Linked DNA regions of Drosophila melanogaster. The protein of the gene in region 3 purifies or fractionates together with the protein of the main gene of each other region. This does not show direct contact. Each region holds a gene or a part of one and is shown on either strand. Other genes may lie near its edges.

Region 1 (6,803 bases), on a different chromosome or scaffold from region 3:
AGCCAACGCCAAACGGGAGGCTACCTGTTCACCGAGGACGTCCTCAACACCAAGATGCCAGTGGAGACCATCAAGATGGTGGGTCTGCGCCGAGATCCCAGCAAGCCGCTGGGCCTGACCGTCGAACTGGACGAATTCAAGCAGCTGGTCGTGGCCAGGATTCTGGCGGGCGGGGTGATCGACAAACAGAGCATGCTGCACGTTGGCGATGTCATCCTAGAGGTGAACGGTACGCCCGTTCGCACTCCCGATGAGCTGCAGGTGGAGGTGTCGCGGGCCAAGGAGAATCTCACCCTCAAGATCGGGCCGAACGTGGACGAGGAGATCAAGAGCGGTCGCTATACTGTGAGTGGGGGTCAGGTAAAACAGAATGGCATCGCGAGTCTCGAGACGGGCAAGAAACTGACGGTAAGTTCGATGTTTGGCTTGAAGGTTCCTCCCACAGATTGCTGCTTGCTTGCATGAGCCCCGATTAGTTGGAAGTTTATCCTAATAAGTTTATTGGCCAGTTAAAATTCAAATAATGAATCTTGAACAATGTTCTTGCCCAGAAAGGGTTTTTAGTTTGTTGTGCTTGCCAACTTACATGTTTAGCTATCCAGTTGTATGCTAATTACTCACTTATGACCGTTTTTATTTGTAAGCAGTAATAGTTTAGTTATCAAACCCAACTTACTCAAAATAATGATATATATCATCAACGCAATAAGTTACTATTAGACAAACATACAACGAATTCCCTTGAAATTTCTCAAATCGCTTGCAACTAAGTAAGTAAATCTTGGCATAGTAAAGCTACTAAAAGTGATAAATGCTTAAATAGTAACAAGGTTTGTGTTCTCATATACCAACAGTGCTACATGCGTGCCCTTTTCACATACAATCCATCCGAAGATTCCTTGCTGCCATGCAGGGATATTGGATTGCCCTTCAAGTCGGGCGACATTTTGCAGGTGAGTTGGTCAGAAAAAAAACAACCCATCTAGTTATCCTGATCAATGTACATCATCCTGGCATTGCAGATCATCAACGTAAAGGATCCCAACTGGTGGCAGGCCAAGAACATTACTGCCGAATCTGACAAAATTGGACTCATACCATCCCAAGAGCTGGAGGAGCGGCGCAAAGCCTTCGTGGCCCCCGAGGCGGACTACGTTCACAAGATTGGCATTTGCGGAACAAGAGTGAGTTTTCATAGTATCGCAATGGGCACCCAGTAAACATTGTGTGTTGCAACAGATCTCGAAGCGAAAGCGCAAGACCATGTACCGATCTGTGGCCAATTGCGAGTTCGACAAGGCGGAGCTGCTGCTCTATGAGGAGGTCACGCGGATGCCGCCGTTCCGCAGGAAAACCCTGGTTCTCATCGGTGTTTCCGGGGTGGGAAGACGTACGCTCAAGAATCGGCTGATCAACAGCGATGTGGACAAGTTCGGAGCGGTCATTCCACGTAAGCACAATTTAAGCTATCATTTTGGATATGAATATTCATAAATGCATTGTATTCGCGGAACCACTTCAGATACCAGTCGCCCCAAGCGCGCCTTGGAGGAGAACGGCAGTAGCTACTGGTTCATGGACCGCGAGGAAATGGAAGAGGCCGTGCGGAACAACGAGTTCCTGGAGTACGGCGAGCACAATGGCAATCTGTACGGCACGCATTTGCAGTCCATCAAGGATGTGATCAACAGTGGGCGCATGTGCATCCTGGATTGTGCACCGAATGCCCTGAAGATCCTGCACAACAGCCAGGAACTGATGCCTTTTGTCATCTTTGTGGCAGCGCCTGGCATGGAGCAGCTCAAGACCATCTATGCGGATCGCAGGGCCACGGGCTCCAACCGGAATTTATCTGTATGTTTCACGTAGCCCCCTAGACTAGGCACTCCTCTAATGCGAGCACATATTCCACAGTTTGATCGCCAGAGTTCCATAAGATTCAGCTCCAGACGCGCCCGTACGCTCGAGTCCCTAGCGTCGTTGTATGAGGTAATGTGCCCTGACCTATCCTTAATTACAGTGTCGTATAAATTGTGCTCAACTCAATCATCCGCTTGGCGCACCTAGGCCACCCTAGTAGCCCTGTTAGATCTCTGCCTGAATACCCAAACATTGCTTAACACATTCGCTTTCTATGACTTTTCCGAACAGGACGACGACCTTGTCGCCACCGTCGAGGAGAGCAGCTTCGTCCAGCGCAAGTATGAGAAATACTTCGACATGGTCATCGTGAACGAGGACTTCGATGAGACGTTCCGCCAGGTGGTGGAAACGCTGGATCAGATGAGCCACGAGGAGCAGTGGGTGCCTGTCAACTGGATCTACTAGAATCCCATGACCCTTTGCAATTGCGCCTTTATGCATATTGAAGAATATATACTATAAAAATCGAATGCCTATCATCACAATTAAAGGGATAATTCCAGTAATTGAAGCTTAAACTCGCAACACAATACAAATTTAGCGAAGAGCATTTAAAACGCTAGCGATTTCAATATTTATTGTTGATTAGACGTGTTTTGCTTGAGGAATGTAATGCGTTTTATTAACTATGTTTATCTCAATTACTGTCATTTTCCTCTTTAAATATAAATCATGTATATATGCAATGTTTGTATAAGTTGAAATGCGCCCTCCGTTTACAATTCAGTTTTCCTTAAGTATAAGCCTAATTTTACGAAACGAATTCGTCCATTTTACCATCTCTTGTTTTATTTTTACAAATAATGAATGATGTCAACGCATATCTCTTCAGTTTATTATTTTAACGAATCTCCTCAGTACAACAACCTTCTGCCAATATTTTCGTGTAGTTTTTAGATTTGTTTGAATAAAATGTGTAAGTTTAACGAACTAGTTAAATGTATTGATGTGGAGTTAAACAAACGAAATACGAATAAATTTGGCTCAAAGAAATGGTGAATTTTGTTTACCTCTAGCTGGTCGCACCAAAATATATTTTATTTGCTGATCTTAAGAGTGTCTTAGAGTTTAAAGGCTGAATGCCAGGCATTTAGCAACTTCATTTGCAGGGACTTATTGGTAAATTCCCAGAGATTTCTCCACCACAGCGTGGGGCTGACGCATATGCTCGCTGTTCTCGGGCAAGTTCATGAAGTCCTCGAAGCCAATGGAATCACAGCGGCCAGTCAGGACATCGTCCATGAAGTTGCTGCAATATAAAGGAAAGAATTAATATAGAAGATAAGTAGTCATTGCTGGGTTTTCGGTAATAATGGTACTATGGGAATCACAGGTATACTTGGTATACACGTATGTATGTATGTACGTATATAGGTATCCATTATTAGGCAAGAAGTTTAGATTTTCTAGATTGTAGGATATCTCAGGTTTCTCCGGGATTCTTATAATGTGGAAACAGAAGATTTCTGAATGCTTCCGCCCTTGCAGAGATTCCTGTCCAGACTGAGAAGCTCCCAGACCGGGCTAGATGCTCACCTGGACGAAAGGAAGGGCAGGCGGCCCACCTGACGTGCGGCGAAGCGCTCCATGCCCATCTTGAGGGGCACGCCGAGGCCCTCGTGGTTGCGCAGCATCTGCATGTTGCGGTTGTACTGGTGCTCGTTGTAGTTCAGCTCCGAGTCGCGCAGCCGGTGGACGTGGGCCAGTTGGTTCAGGCAGTTGGCCTCGGTGGGCATTCCCACACGGCCGGTGGCGTTCAGCACGGACACCTCGGCGGGCTGGACTTTCAGTGATGGCTGATACTGTATTGCGAGGGGTTTTCGTTTCGTTAGCGGCTCTACTAAATGCACTCGGCGAGGTACTTACCATATTCGTAAGCGCTTTTAGAATAAAAATGCGGCGAATTATAATTGTTTCTTGAATGACAAACAAATTCCGTGCGAATTAGAGCTGGTACTTGTGTCGATGCCTACTCGATATCGACGATAATTGACAAGATAATCGAATAGAAAGCAACTTATCGACTAGAATAGAATCCAGTAGTGTAGAAACCAGACTGGCAACTCTTTACATGTGTAGAAATCAGGATGGCAGCTCCAGACAATGCTAACATGGATTCAATCCATTTTGACCCACATAAATTTTAGCTCGGTTTCAAACCATTGCAGGGTACAAAAATGCGGCATGTCCGACAAGTGAATTTCGATTTGAAATTATGAACTCCAAATTTTCCAATCCAATTTGATTATTTAAACAAAATATTTCTATATATATAGCAACAACGCAGCACTATTTGAAATACACTTTAATTGTAATCGTGTTGATGGGTAAAAGTCGGTCTATGCAAATTGGCGTTATTAGCGCACTTAACACTTCGGTCAAGTGACGAACTTGAGTGTTGTGATTAATTACACCCTCGCTGGCCAGCAACGCACATCCGAAATATACAAACGTATCGATCTCGGCCGCAGCTCTAATCAATTCGATCAACAAAAGAACTGAATCCGCTGGCTGGCTGGCCGGGGTTTTGTTTTTCTTTTCACCCACACCTTTTAGCGGCTTTTATGATCTTCTGCTCCACAGAGACGCGATTCATTTGCATCGAGTGACAAACGCGAACGAATGCGAATGCGAGGAGACCAAATCACACGACAGGGCTTAATTAGTGCATGGTCACTAATAAAGATTCGGCCAGTGGATGTTGTGTTAATCAAACTCCCGCACACAATAGCCCAAACTGTCTCCGGCCAACCGATCCGATCCTATCCAATCTGAACTTGAAAATCCAAATGGAAACATCAACCGGATGGATGGATCTTCACCTTCACTTTAGACTAAAAGGTAGTACGTAAATTATGATTTATGCCCATTTACTGAATTTTACAGTGCGAAAAAAGCGAACTACATTCCTGCTTTGTAATTTACAACTTTAATCATTTTAATATTGGTATGGATGAGCATTGCAATACAAAGTCAAATAGTTTATAGCATGTATAGCTATAGTATTGATACAAAAACGTATTAGATAATTTAAAAGATCAGCCCTATTTTTAATGAATGAATTCTATATTAAGAAACTGACAAAATGATAAGTAAATTTAATCAGCAGACAATTCGAGAATTTACAATAAGAATATCGCAACGGGCATATTTATGGCGTCGAGTTGATAAAAATATCGTTAGTTTTTATTACTTTGAGATGCGATTCTTTCGGATGCAACTTATGGTGATTTAATCTATAAGTCTATAAATAAATTAAGTTAGAATAAACACAAATTACTCGCATCGATTTTAGCTTACTAGCATCGTTCCTTTGACTTATTTGTTAATACAATCATTTCAGTTCCCTGTGAATTTTGCCGCTTGAAGAGTTCAAAAGAACTCATACCACGATTGATTTATAACGTTTACTTTCTGTTTTACTGCCTTTGACCAATTAATACACAGTAGACCAGTACGAGGCGAATCAACCAATTCAGTCAGTCCAATATATGGCCATAAGGATGGCCAAGAGCCAACTATGTATGGTCGAATGGAGATGGAGATCTCAGGGCGAGAAGATCGATATGTAAAAGTCAAATAAAAATATAACGTCGAGAATTAACATTTTTTCACAGCAATAAATGCATAAAAGTCGAAGATGTGTATTCAAAAAAGAGAAGAGTCGTGGGTTCAACTAGGGGACTCTTCAGATGAGGGAATTCCTTTTAAAACAGCTTGATTGGGCTGATATTTCTCTTCTATTTTATACGCACTCAGAGAAATTAATGGGTAAAAGCAAGAGATTCCAAAAGATGATCAATAGATGATTTCTTTAAATTGAAGTACAAAATAAAAGGATGTTTCTTCAGCTTTTCAAGAGTTATTTAAAGGCATCCGAGGGCACGATTTCCCTCAGTGCACCAGTACACCCATTTCTGTATGACGTATATGGTATAAAATTTACAATCTTCTGCAGGCCGTCTCCGCTGGATGCTGCCCTCCGTCCGCCATTGTCGTCGCTAATAGAGACATACAACCTCCACTGGGAATTGATCTTGGATCGAATCGAAAGAGCAGGAGGCTTCGTTAACGGCACCAAAAGTTCGAATGTTTCGTTACTTTTCCCGGCTGCCATAAACTTTTATGGCTGCAAGACGCAGCGGAAGACGAGGACAATGGGTCTTGGACCTGGGATCGGGATTCGGCGATCAGAGAACAGGGAGCAGCTGTAAGCAGATGGTCGTCGAGATGATTGGGCATTATGCCGGACCAGGCCCGGGGCTATCCGGTATCTTTCTTTTTTTTTATAACCATAGGGGTCGCTGCCGCTTTGACGAGCCACCTCCTCTGGGTGCCAATTAAGATACGAGGAACTGGGCTGTAGCTGCGGCAGTATAACCGAGCTGGACCCTATTAGCAGCCATATTGCCAGGTACTGAACGAAATGTTGAGTTTAAGAAATCGAAGGATTTTAATGATATAATAATATAATATTAAGTAACATATAATATGAAATTCTTATTCTTGGAACTCTTAAGAAATATACATTGCACATGAGAAAAGAGAAAAAATGTTGGATCTTAACATACTCCCTCAAATATGGAATATAATTGTTTAAGGTTTTTAATACATTATTTAGTTTTCTGTACTCTCTTTTTTCTGTGCATGGGCACAATAAACGAATATCCCGTTCGTGAGTGATCTGAGTAAGATCGCTCCGCACTTTTATGGCTCCCATTCGCTAGGATCCCCCTCCGCCATTGGCTTCTCGTGAATCGAGATACTCTGGGCCATAAATCAAGCGGCTGAGTGAGGAGAGATGGCCAGTTTCGGCGATGCACTTCATCCATTTTTGAAAATGCCAGGACATAAGGACATGCTGTAATCCCAAATTGAAA
Region 2 (6,106 bases), 3.1 Mb from region 3:
GTGCGACAGGTGGAGGCGAACGTGGTTGTGGTCGTGGAAGCGGACTCATTGCCAATTGCACATCGCAGTACCCATTCCCATTCCCATTCCCATCCCCGTACCCGTACCCATTCCACTCCAGTCCAGTTCCCCCACCAGATGGCGAATCATGATTTATAAATAGATAGGGGGCATAATCGGACCACAACTGCTCCGCCGGACAATCGAGCCGAGGTACAGTCGCGCATGGCGAGGTCAGTTCAGCGGAATCTTCCAAAAGCACGGCCTTGGGTCCGTATCGCCTCCCCAAATCGAAGACAGGCGATGAAGGACCCCAGGCGCAACCTAATTTTTATGTTTTTTGCCGCTTGCCGGCAATTAAAGCCGCGCAGAAAATGAGTAAAAAAAATCCGGATTTTCTGACTGGCTGTGTGAACTTTGTATGGCGCGAGCTCCCGTTGGGGAGCTGAGCGTGTGCGCTTATTAATTTTCCGTGGTCCGAATCTCGGCGTAAATAATAACAAATCGGCACCAAACTAGGCGTATAGACACTCGGCGGCGATCCGGATCGAACCGGAATGGCAGGGTGCAGTCCGTCGGGCGCAATGATGTTCAATATTTCTATCAAATTAACAACACTCGACCGATAACCGGAGGGGTCTGGATGGCTGGCAAAGGTGGTCTGGTGGTCCGATAAGCCCTCGCAGCAGATTCGGATTGGGATCTCCGATTCGATTCTATTCGATCCGAACCGTTTCGTTCCGTTCCGCGCTCCAGCTTGACCGGTGGGCGTGCGCCTGAACCTAGGGGTTTATCAGCCAAGATGCACATTTGCAGCAGCAGCAGCAGCAGCAGAAATAGCAGCAGCAGCCGCCGCGGAGAAGGTTCCACGCGTAGTCCAGCCGGCTTATCGCTGCAGTGGGAACCCACTGGGGGCGCTGATATGACTATGGTAGTCCCGCAGAAGGCTAATTACTTTGTTGCCGCCAACGATAGACTTCCAAAGTCCATGTACCGCCAGCCGGGCCAGCCAGTCATCCAAGCCAGGGACATGCAACCGAGGCATGGAAGCCACAACTACTCGCACTCACATTCCGACCCGATAATTACAGATGGCTGCTCGAATTCGGCCGACTCGGATCTATTATTTATAGGGCGCTTATCGCCAGACAGCTTTTGATATGGCCAAAAAGGAAAAGTTATTAGGCAACTGGGGAAACCAAAAGCAGAAAAAAAAAAACGGGGGAAAAAAACATTCCAGACATTCGTGGGAGCCCACAGACCCCGGAGCGCAGACCTTCCGGCTGAAGCTCTATTTTTATACCCGTTCAATGGGTGCTGCTATTTTTTTTTTGGAGCGATATGCTCTTGTCGCTGTTACCACCACTGATACGCCTGACAATATCTCGTCTAGACTGGGCATTATTATGAGAGGCGAAATTTGTTTTTTTCGTACATTAGTGTTTTTCATTTTGTTGCTGCTCCCTCCCTCCCATTGGGTTGTTTAGCGGAAAAGTTTCAATGGCACCTCCAGGCGGTGTGATCCAACACAACCATAGCACAACGCTGCTGGGGGCTGTTCCATTAAAAATATGACTGGCATTCTTGGCGGGGGTAATTCAGACGTCTTATCAACCGATTTATATTTACGATTGGCGGGCAGGAAGTATAGCCAACTTTCAGTCTGAGAATGCCGATAGATAAAGGGCATTATGAAGGTGTCGCGTTGGTCCTTCAACTATCTATACCTGAGTATCAAACTGTTCAAGTTGCAGACTTTCTGTGACATAGAACCATTCTGAAATAGTGAATAGTGACTTGGATATTTTGGATATCGCAATCATTATAATTGGGAACTCATGCAGGAAGTGACATCAACTTTTTGCTCGTGGGTAATTAGTAAAGTTGAGAGTTCCTATAGTCAGTCATCACCAATATCATTTTTTCAAAAGCTAAACGAACTGTAACAAGAGATATAATATTTTCAACCAGTATTATTCACACAAATTTAGAAGCTTGTTAATCACATTGTGAATTGTAAACCCGCTAGTTAATACATACATTTGATAGTGGTATCCTACTAACTTTTCGAATAGTTCAAATTAACAACATAAAAACAAATCTAATGATATTATTTGTCAGAGGTATTCAGTGATCAAACTGAAATGGTACCCATTTGGAAAACTTCCGAATGATTATTACATATTAACTTCTCCCTAAACCTAAACATTCATTCGAAAGGGAAACCGAAACGGAGGCCTGATGAACAAACCGGCGCAATGCGAACACACACATATGTATATTCGAATTTAATACGATGGCGGGGAAATCACCTATCAAGCGATCATCACTGCAGCCAAACTGACCTTCAAATCATTGGGTGGTGAAGCAGCAGCATGAATAGCATGCGGGTGGCACGCGATCACTCACACAGCGGGTGACTTCTTCTTACATTGAGCACTGCTATCGCGACACAATTGATAAAGCCCACATGCGTCTGTAAACTTACTTAGGGCAATAAATTTATTGTACAAAATTCGTATCACCGATACACGTTTAAAGTTCGTGCTCACTCGGCCGCCGCATGACGTCTGAGCGGAGATCGGGAATCGGAGATCCCAGATAGTTAGCTGATGGAGTGCGTAGAGTACGTGAAGCTGCGTCCGTGGGGTAGCCGCCGGTCCCCGAAATAGACGTTGACCCCCACGCGGCGCCGTGTCATCGGTAGCGCAGGCGGGCCCTGTGTGCACGTGAACCAGAAATAAGTCAGCGATTGAGGATTAAATTTATGCCACACTAAGTTGTTGTACCCACTCAAGCGAAGTGCTCCAGATGGTCTTGCATGTAGGTGACTAGCGTCTTCTCGAACAGAGGGCCCATTAATCGATCCAGTTTGAGATTAAGGCTCACGTAGAACTGGCGGCAGTAGCGTTTACTCAATTTGGCGGCCAGAACAGATGAGTCGGTCTGCCCGTGTCCGCCCAGGATTGTGGAGGATAGGGACTGGCTGCTGGCGGGATTGCGAGAGGGCATGGCCACCGCTAGCTCCTCGAAAACCTCCAATCCCTTGGGGTTTATGATCAGCATGGTGCTGCCTTGCATTTTCAGGGCGCGCACGGTGAATTGCGAGGGACCCGCCGCCAAGTGGACGCAATGTGAGGTGAAACCACCAGACTCCTTCGCAGGCACAACATTCGCAGGAACGCTATCCATTAGTCGTGAATTTTATACATAAACAAGCAATATTCACAAGGAAAACAATGAAATAGCAAGTTTGACCGGAGCGGTGTTGCCAGATAACGAAACGACCATAGATAGCTTTTCAAAATAATCGAAAATTGTATCGATAGGCAGCTATTACAGAGCTTAGGCGCGGATTTTAAATTTGCATTACTCCCTCAAAAGCCAATGAAAGTCAGTTTGATTTCGCCGTTCGCAGTGTTGGTTGCATTTATTAAGGCTCTATTTAATGTGGGCGAGTTTTTTAATGTTTACGTTGGTTGAGTTAAATACATATATACGATATTTTGTTCACAATTACATTCAGATTTTGTTTTGCTCTCTTCGGCGCGCGTCGATTGGTTTTTCCTTTTCTATAATGTTAATGTTGTCGCTTTGATTTGACCTACTTATTTAAATACACAAAAGGGAAATCGTCGAGAGTACCAAAAAAAGGCAATTGAAATCAACGTTATTCGATTTAAAGATCAGTTCCGGTTGTTATGTTAAAAAAAAAAGATGAAATTCACTAATTATTCGTTATGCTTGAAATGTCAATGAGAATTATGATGTATGGATAAATATCGGTTATATTTGACGTCTATTGCGCTTTATTTATTGATAATTGATTGTTAATGTTCTTTGAATTTGTTGGATATCAAATAATTTTGATTAATTTTTTTTGTTTTGTTTTTCTTTTTTACTATAATTTGACTAAGTTTTGCAACCGCGATTTCAAACTTCCACCCTGATGGTATTTTGTTTCTTATTTTTCGTGTTTTGTTAGTTTTGTTGTTTTTCATCATGTAATCATTATCGATTTGTGAATAAATATTGGAAGTGATAAACATATAGCGCTGTTATTATGCGGGACTGCGTTGCTTTCTAATCCTCATCGTCCTCAGATTCGGCCTCCTGCAGCCAAGTCAACCAGGCGTTCACTTGGAACAAAGCGGATCCTTTGCCTGGATATTTGTCGGAAATCTCCTCCTTCCACAGGACGAATGCCTCCTCCTCTATAATTTCAGATTCGTAAAGATACTTGAACCAACGGCACAGCATGCCTAACGAAGAAAAAAGCAAATATAAGTTGCCGATAAAACAGATTAGATTTAAAATGTTGAGCACTTACCCTTGGGGAAATTTTCATTGTAGCAGAACGTTTGCAGAGCATAGAGAGCCATCAACTGAAGCTCGTTCTGTCCCAGGAAGGTCTGCAGCATCTGGCTGTAGTTCTCCAGCAGCTGTTGCTCCTTCTGGGTCACCGATTTCTCAGGGTGCTCCTTGGGGTCGAGGTTGTCCGCCAGCGTCGTCTCCTTGGTCACATACTTGACCACCACGGTCATTAGGGCTTGGATAAAGCCCGGGTCCTTGTAGTATTTGTTGTCAACGTTGGCCTTGATCCACTTGTAGAAGTTGTTGGGGTTCGGGTCGCTTTGCAGCTGTTTTAGCATCTCGGCCTGTACCTTCAATAGCGGATAAAGGAAAGAAAGCTTGCGATCCTCGAGTATCCCGGCCAAGCGCTCCTTGTTCCGATCCGCCTCCGGCAGGCTGTTCATAAGATCAACTTTGCTCGCCCGGAATTTCTCTTCCAGCGCATCCTTGCCGATGACCTTGACCAGTTGCTGCAGCACGAGCAGGAACAGCGGATAGTGTTGGCCATTGTCCGTGAAGTTGGCGATATCGCTTAACTTCAGCAATGCTGGCTCGCAAATTGTCTTTGCCAGCAAGCTGGCTACAAGACTAACGATTCGGGGATTGAGTGCCTCTCGCTCGTTCATCTTGTTGACCACCTGCTTGAAAATCTCGACCACGATGTTCGGCTTGATATTGGATTGCTTGCGCAATGTCTGCAGAAGGCGCACAGCACGCTCCAAGAAGACATCGTTTACACGGTCCAAGACCTCCATCAGCAGATTGATGCACACATCCTTCAGCGCCTTCTCTGGCAGCTTAAGCTCGAGGAAACCATCTACAAGCTTGGTGAAGCGATCTGGAGTGGTCACAGGTATTGCAGCATCTTCCTTTACCTCCGAGACTTCAACTGGAGCAGCGTCGGCCTCCTCCGTCTTTGTCTCATCAATATCCTTGATCTCAATTTCCGTCACCTCTGCATCCTCCTCCTCATCGTAGTAGAACCTATCCTTGAAGTACTGACTGGCCTTCTTAGACAGCTCCTCCTTGTTGGGACCCTTATCTTTCTTTTGTTGCTTGGCCGAGCCAATACCGCCGGCCGGAGTGCTTGGTCTCTCCACGGAGCCATTCTTGCCCTGATCTTTGCCGTCGTGCGATCCCTTTCTGCCCGCCTGACCGTCTAAATCCAACTTCTCCGCTCCTGATGAAAAGTTCGGCGAAGAAGAGGTGGCCTTCAATCCCCTCTCCTGTTGAACTCCCAAAAGAGTTCGGTTATCAGCATACTCAGCAGATGGTGTTGACGAGGGACGCGTTGGATTGATCAGATGGGATGTGGGCGTGCCGAGCATAGGGTAGTGGGAGTTCGAGAGCTGGCCCTGCGAGCTGCCCTGGTTGTTGCTGCCGCTGCTATTGGGCGGTGTTGACATGGGCAACGTAGCCGGAAACTTTTGGTTCTGGGAGGCCGCTCGGAAGAGCAAGGAGTTGGCTGCCGGGCGCATTTGCAAGTTCTCCACCGCATCCTGGTTCGTGGTGATCAAGTTGCGTTTGAACCTCGGTGCCAATTCCTTACTACCCAGCAGCTGATTGCCCCCATACTGTCCGTCATTGCGATCCCTGTCACGATCGTTATTCCTACGCGAATCATCCCGGTCCCGGTTGTTGGAGGATCCTCCGCCACTGCCTCCTCCATTCTGGTTGTGCTTGTTGTAGCGATTGCCATAGTTAGCTCCGCCGCTACCGCCCTGATCGCGATCCCTGTTGCGATCGCCTCGAT
Region 3 (6,688 bases):
GCCTGCTCCTTGTCGAAAGCGATCCCAATCATGCAGGAAGCGAGATCCGCACACAGCACTATCTTTCCGTACTCGTTGATCTGCAGAGGGACATTCGTGGAGCGCAGTTCCAGGAGGCGTACTAGTTCGGTGGTTTTCCTGAAAGGATTCGATCTTACTGGGTAAACCTTTAAAACTATTTATTTATCGCTTACTCTAGCACGTTTGGCTCCTCCCTTAGGCCCATTTTCGTAATTAACTGTTCTATTAAGGTAGTCATTGTAGTTATTAACAATAGACTGAAATTCCAGTCGTGCGTCGTTAAAACCAAAATAAAGTACAACAAATGGCGCGAAATGCATCAGCTGTGAGCGATAAGGTTTTTCTTTGTAGCAATCGAGGTTTAATAGCTGCAGGCACATTCAAAAGGAACCAGATCCGATAACCAGCGAGCCAATATATTTATATCGAACGATAACTATTAAAGAATGAGAGTATAAAAATATAAAAACCTTAAATTTCACCCGATTTTGTTTATTCATTTTGCGCTTTAGGGAAATATAAAATTAACATTATGTATGAGGCCCAGAATTAGATTCACTGGCACACAAACGAACTAGTGCGTCTCATTGTCGCTGTCTTCGTCCTTGTTGGCCGCATCGCCGGCTTTCCTCGCCTTCTCCGTCAGTTCTGAGGGATTTATGAGATGTAGGCCACCGGTTACCCTGCCCACCAAACCCATTTCGAAGCGGAAGTCCTTGTCCTTCAACTCGTCATGGACTTTGTAGATGCTAAGACATAGGATAGATATGTTAATTATGAATAAAAACCTAGATTCTAAGTGCAATAGATGTCCCAAAAATGCTTCCTATTGTCAGAGCAAGTAAGTTTCCACTCGGAACTAGGATAAAGCCCGCCCGATTTTTGAAACAGTCCCTTTTTTTTGCTGTAAACGTACATTTCACCAGCGCTCTCCACCAATTCGTCGGTCCTCATATCCATCTTGAGCTTCTCCATCTCAGTCTTGGCCAGCTGCTTGGCCTTGCCGCTGGCGCAGGCGAAGTAACCGAAGGAGGAGCCGGACGGCTCGATCTTGTAGAGCTGTGGCCCCTCTACTTCGTCCCAGGAGGCGAGAATGATGGAAAGTCCGAAGGGGCGGACGGCACTGTACAGAGTGTAGGCGTGAACGTAGCCGGCGACTCGGTGGCACAGGTGTTTAAGCGGGATAGCCTGCTCAAATTGCTGTCTGTAGTTGGCTGCCTCCTGACGCGCAATGTCAGCCACAAAGTTTCCATCGGCCACCAAGCCGGCCACCGCCATTCCGATGTTCTTTTCGATGGTGAAGATGCGTCCGCCGGCGTCTGGTTCGTACAGTTTACTGGTGATGATCTTCTCCACGGCCAGCACCACGGCGTCCTTGCCCCGAATCCCGATTACGGTGCCGCTCTTCTCCACCGCCTTTGAGGCGTAGTCGATCTGGAAAACGCGGCCATCAGGCGAAAACTGCGAGGCCGACAAGTCGTACTGGAAGCGAGAGGGTGACGTTAGGGATCTGCAGATATGTAGTTCGCTGACCACTTACTCCAGTGCCAATAGTACTCATAGCGAAGACTTTGTGAAAATTTAAACAATTCAAACGCAAAAATTAGTTTAATTCCTTGGGTCGAATGCGACGATGATTTGACGGCTTTTACTTGGCTAGTGGTGGACAAAACAAAGGGGCCTATCGGTCAAGGAGGTTCGATAGTTTCGGAACGACTATCGTCAATAAAAACCAATCGTATACCAATCGCGATTTTTTCAGATAAAATTCGAATGATTAAAAATAAATCACCAATTCATGGTACTTTATTTATTTAGCACAGTTGAAGTTAATATCATTCTTTTCTTTTCTACTTATACATTTCGAATATCCCCTTACATGCTCTGTAAAGTAACATTTCGAACTAGTTCCGTTCATGTTCTGATCCGCGGCGCACGCGGTTTTTGTATTTATAAACAACGAAAATCATGCTGGCGGGTATCAGCGAGAAAAGGTAACATAAACTTAATAATTACCTGATGATTGCAAGACTACAACAATTTTAAAATCCAGCTATGCGGCGGAGGCCCGCTACACGAACTTCTACGCCGGCGGCGACATCGCCTGGAGCCCGAATGGCCATCATCTTTACTGCCTCAATGGCTCAGCTGTAAACCAGGTGGATGTGCAGACCTCCCAAATCCTAAATAGCTACGGCTTGTCTTCCCCGTCGGCGGATAACAAGAGGCCGGCGGAGCTGGACAATATCGATGTGGAGGAGGATACGATTACTTGCTTCGGGCTGTCACAGGAGCATCTGGTTACTGCCCATCGAAGTGGCCTGCTTAGGCTGTGGCAGCTGGACACTGGGAAGCTGGTGAAGCTGTGGAAGGCGCAGCACAAGGGACCAGTCATCCGAGTTGAGTTTAGTCCCTGCGGCAGGCTTATCTGCACCAGCGGCGGTGCAGATGCCACACTGAGGCTGTGGGACTACTCGAACAACAGCTGTCTGGGTGCCCTCAAGGATTTCCCTGGTCCCGCTTGGCTCCTCGTCTTTCATCCCAATGTGCTGCGCAAAGAGATCTACGCCGGAGGTTCGGATAACACTGTCTATGCCTGGAACTACGAGACGAAGACACTTGTGCACAAGATGCGAGGTCACCTGTCGCAAGTCACCGGCTTGAGCTTTAAGAGCAACGCGTCCGACTGCAATGAAATCGTGACTGTAAGCCGGGACAAGGTTATGATCGTGTGGCAATTGCAGGAGCAGTTGGAAAGCAAGCAGTTGAAGGTTCTTCCCTTGTACGATGAGCTTGAGGGAGTCGTGTACGCAGACGAGGGACAACTGATAATCGTGGCGAGCGGATCGGGCAAGCTGCAACAGGTCGACCCTAAATCTTGGAAGATCAGGGATATTCTTTCTCAATCTGATTTCCAAATTAGTAGACTGCTGCACTGCAGCGAGCTAAAACAGCTGGCCCTGGTCACTACAGAGCAGAATATTTTGGTCTACGACGTTGAAACCCTGGAACCCATTAAACACTTGGTGGGTTACAACGACGAGATCCTAGACATGTGCTTTATGGGCGAACACGATCGCTACCTGGCCGTTGCCACCAACAGCAAGCACTTCAAGCTGTACGACACGGAACACGACATGAATTGCAAGCTGATCGTGGGTCACTCGGATACGGTAATGTCCCTTGCTGCATCCCAAAATCTGCTGATTTCGGTGGGAAAGGACTGCAGCGTTCGGCTTTGGAGGCTTCAGCACGACAAAGATTGCTCGCTTGAGGCTCTGACTCAACAGGCCAACTGCCACACGTCCACTATCGGTTGCGTGGCCATGACGCACAACGGAGCTACTGGCTTTGCATCCGTGAGCCAAGATGGCAGCATGAAGGTATGGCAGCTCGTCAGAAGTAAGGAGGATCGCAACTCGTACTCTTTCAACCTGCGCTACGCAGCGCTTTCCCACGACAAGGAGGTGAACTGCGTTGCATATGCTCCGAATAACAAGCTTATTGCTACCGCGTCGCAAGACAAGACGGCTAAGGTGTGGCTGGCGGAGTCCAACACGCTGCAAGGAGTGTTGCGGGGACACACCCGCGGTGTGTGGAGTGTGCGCTTCTCTCCGGTGGATCAGATCGTGCTCACCTCATCGTCGGACTGTACTCTCCGCATCTGGTCCATCAGCAATTTTTCGTGCATAAAACGTTTCGATCAGGAGTGCACCATACTGAGAGCCGAGTTCCTGGATCACGGCAAGTTCATTATCTCCGCTGCTTCGGATGGCCTTCTTAAGCTGTGGAATATCAAGACCAACACATGTCTGCAGTCCCTGGACGAGCACAACGATAGGGTTTGGGCGCTGGCCGTATCCGCCAGGAGCAATCGGTTCTTTTACACCGGCGGCGCGGACTCCAAGCTGATTCGCTTCGGTGATGTCACTCAGGTGACGCGAAACGAAGCGCTGGACAAGCGGCAGGCCGCATTGGAGCAGGAGCAGACCCTACATTCCCTTCTGCACGCCCAGAAGCAGCTTCACAAGGCCTTCGTGTTGGCTCTGAACCTGGACAAGCCCAAAGCCAGTTTCGATATTATCAACCACTTTGTCCGCAAGCGAGATGAGCCCGGTCTCCGGCAATTGGTTGACCAGTTGAACGTTGACCAGCGGGTTGCGCTGCTGCAGCACGTCAAGGCATGGACCACCAACTCGCGCCATTCGCAGGCGGGCAACATGATCCTCAAGTACTTGATCGGAGATGCTCTTCTGGATCCCAAGGCGAGGTTCTACTACAATGGCAACATGGTCGAGGTACTCACTCCGTACGTCCAGAGACACTTTAAGCGGGTCACCGAGCTGAACAAGGATCTGGCTTTCCTAGAGTTCATTGTCAAGTGCATGTAGGCTTTAGCTTCGGAGCCGTTTCATTCATGATTGTTAACTTAATTCAGTTTAATTAATTTTAGGAAAAAAATAAAGTAGATAACCATACATTACATATTTGTTTCGAGATGTTTAATCACCAATTTCACACTACAAAAACCAGGGCGTTACTTTTTATTTTGTATAACGTTTATTACACAATAGTTAATATAACATTAATAACCACTTACGTATTTACTAGAGGGGGAATCTCGACACAGGTGTTTGCGAATTAAAAATTCCATAATCGTACAAATTTGATTCAAATGACTTGCGGGAAAAGCCCTACGACAAATTTACAAATATACTTGGGCACGAACTTATGCAATCCGATATATTTTGGCAGGGACAGCTAAAAAATTTGACCAGTTACTCATGGTCGATTGATCCTGGAAACACGGAAACATGAATGATTTTGATTCATATAAAAATAGACACAGGCGACTTTGGACAGTTTTATGATCAATCGAACTGACAGAGTCCCTAAGATTATCACTGTTTTCACTTAATTTTACATTGGGTGTGTGCGGTGGCAGCTTAGACAATGGACATTTTGATCCGGTGGCACTGTCTATTCGATAATCATAATGAGGTCCTCGCCCTCCAGCTTCGTTCCGTTGGCAATTTCCAGCTTCTTGACAACGCCCGCCAATGGCGACTGCACCACCATCTCCATCTTCATGGCCGAGAGCACGACCAGAGGCTGACCCTTCTCCACTTTGTCGCCAACCTTCACGCGGATATCGATGACAGTTCCGGGCATGGGGGCGCCCACCTCGCTCTTGTTCGACTTGTTCGCTTTGGGATGGACATGGATCTCCTGCGGAAGAAGAGCAAGCAAATGATTCCATTGCCTAAAGATCACCGATGACTGCTGACTGAACCTACCTTAACGGCTTCCTTGTCCAGGATGTGGACCGCGCGCAGCTGGCCATTCAACTCAAAGAATACCTCGCGGATACCGTTGGGCTTGAGATCGGCGGACACAGCCAGAGCTTTCACGCTCAGCGTCTTACCGCGCTCCAGAGGTACGTCGAACTCCTCGCCCACCTTGGGACCCGTGAGGAAGATGCGAGTGTCCAGCTTGTCGACGGGTCCGTACTTTTCGCGGAAGTTTAGGAAATCATTCGTCACCTGCGGGTAGAGGGCAGCTGACATGACATCACGGTTGGTGACGCAGGTGTGAGACTCCTGCAGTTCCTTCTTCAGCTTGTCAAAGTCCAAGTCCTTCAGTTCGGCTCCCGGACGTCCCTCGATGCGGGGCATGTCCTTGAGCACTCGCGAACGCAGCGGCTCGGGGAATCCGCCGTGCGGAATGCCAATAGAGCCCTGCAAGTACTCCACCACCGACTTGGGGAACGACAGCTCCTCGGCCCGCTCCAGCACTTGATCGGCGGTCAGGTCATTCTGCACCATGAACTGGGCAAGATCACCTACCACCTTCGACGAGGGCGTCACCTTGATAATGTCACCCAACAACAGGTTGGCCTCACGGTAGGCCTTCTTAACGTCCTCGAAGAAGTCGCCCAGACCCAGCGAGAAGGCCTGGAACTGCAGGTTGGTGTACTGGCCGCCGGGAATCTCGTTGAGGTAGACATCGGCGTTGCCCGACCGCATTGTTGTGGTGCACTCGAAGGGAGCGTACAGGGTGCGGGTCTGCTCCCAGTAGGCGGAGTACTCCGACACCGTGCGCAGATCCAAGTTCGTGTCCAGCGGAGTGCCTTGCAGGGAGGCCACTACGGCACCCATGCTCGGCTGGGAAGTCATGCCGCTCATGGAGTCGACGGCCACGTCCACCACATCGGCTCCGGCATTGGCGCATGCCAGCATGGAGGCCACTCCCGCTCCAGAGGTGTCGTGGGTGTGGATATGGATTGGGATGTCGGGGTGCTTGTCACGAATGGCTGTGATCAGAAGCCTTTCAGGGGATGGAAACAAAATAGTACACAACAGAAAAAAATTAAAAACCCCTTCAGACTCACCTGGCGGATTCGGGCTTGAGCAGACCAGCCATATCCTTTATGCAGAGCACGTGGGTGCCCGCCTTGACCAGCTCATCGGCAAGGTTAGTGTAGTATTTCAGATCATACTTGGTGCGCTTGGGATCGCTGACGTCTCCGGTATAGGAGATGGCAGCCTCCACCACGCCGCCCGCCTTTCCAGCGGCTTCCATGCCGAGGATCAGGTTGGGCAGGTAGTTGAGCGAGTCGAACACCCTGAAGATGTCCATGCCGGTCTGCACAGCCAGCTCACAGAAC

What was found. Proteins that work in one complex are often made in the same cells at the same time.
Region 1: the proteins of Prosalpha7 (region 3) and Pomp purify together in Drosophila melanogaster (affinity purification with mass spectrometry, with the first as the bait; one large-scale study listed by BioGRID). This does not show direct contact.
Region 2: the proteins of Prosalpha7 (region 3) and CG13319 purify together in Drosophila melanogaster (affinity purification with mass spectrometry, with the first as the bait; one large-scale study listed by BioGRID). This does not show direct contact.

Annotation. Positions count from the first base shown.
Region 1 is NT_033779.5:20,784,772-20,791,574, reverse strand, and holds Pomp (pomp), read right to left. Parts: upstream 3,920-6,803; 5' UTR 3,793-3,919; coding exon 3,790-3,792; intron 3,726-3,789; coding exon 3,460-3,725; intron 3,173-3,459; coding exon 3,037-3,172; 3' UTR 2,477-3,036; downstream 1-2,476. Other genes in the region: vari (varicose), read left to right, coding at 1-408, 855-953, 1,023-1,184, 1,240-1,450, 1,523-1,854, 1,915-1,989, 2,152-2,328.
Region 2 is NT_033778.4:12,921,035-12,927,140, reverse strand, and holds CG13319 (uncharacterized protein), read right to left. Parts: upstream 3,238-6,106; 5' UTR 3,193-3,237; coding exon 2,794-3,192; 3' UTR 2,790-2,793; intron 2,720-2,789; 3' UTR 2,477-2,719; downstream 1-2,476. Other genes in the region: NAT1, read right to left, coding at 4,084-4,262, 4,331-6,106.
Region 3 is NT_033778.4:9,846,136-9,852,823, forward strand, and holds Prosalpha7 (proteasome alpha7 subunit), read right to left. Parts: upstream 1,702-6,688; 5' UTR 1,583-1,701; coding exon 1,562-1,582; intron 1,504-1,561; coding exon 938-1,503; intron 771-937; coding exon 596-770; 3' UTR 501-595; downstream 1-500. Other genes in the region: Orc6 (origin recognition complex subunit 6), read right to left, coding at 1-138, 195-259; CG1671 (uncharacterized protein), read left to right, coding at 1,990-2,015, 2,075-4,412; PCB (pyruvate carboxylase), read right to left, coding at 5,002-5,250, 5,319-6,348, 6,413-6,688. UniProt on the Drosophila melanogaster protein: The proteasome is a multicatalytic proteinase complex which is characterized by its ability to cleave peptides with Arg, Phe, Tyr, Leu, and Glu adjacent to the leaving group at neutral or slightly basic pH.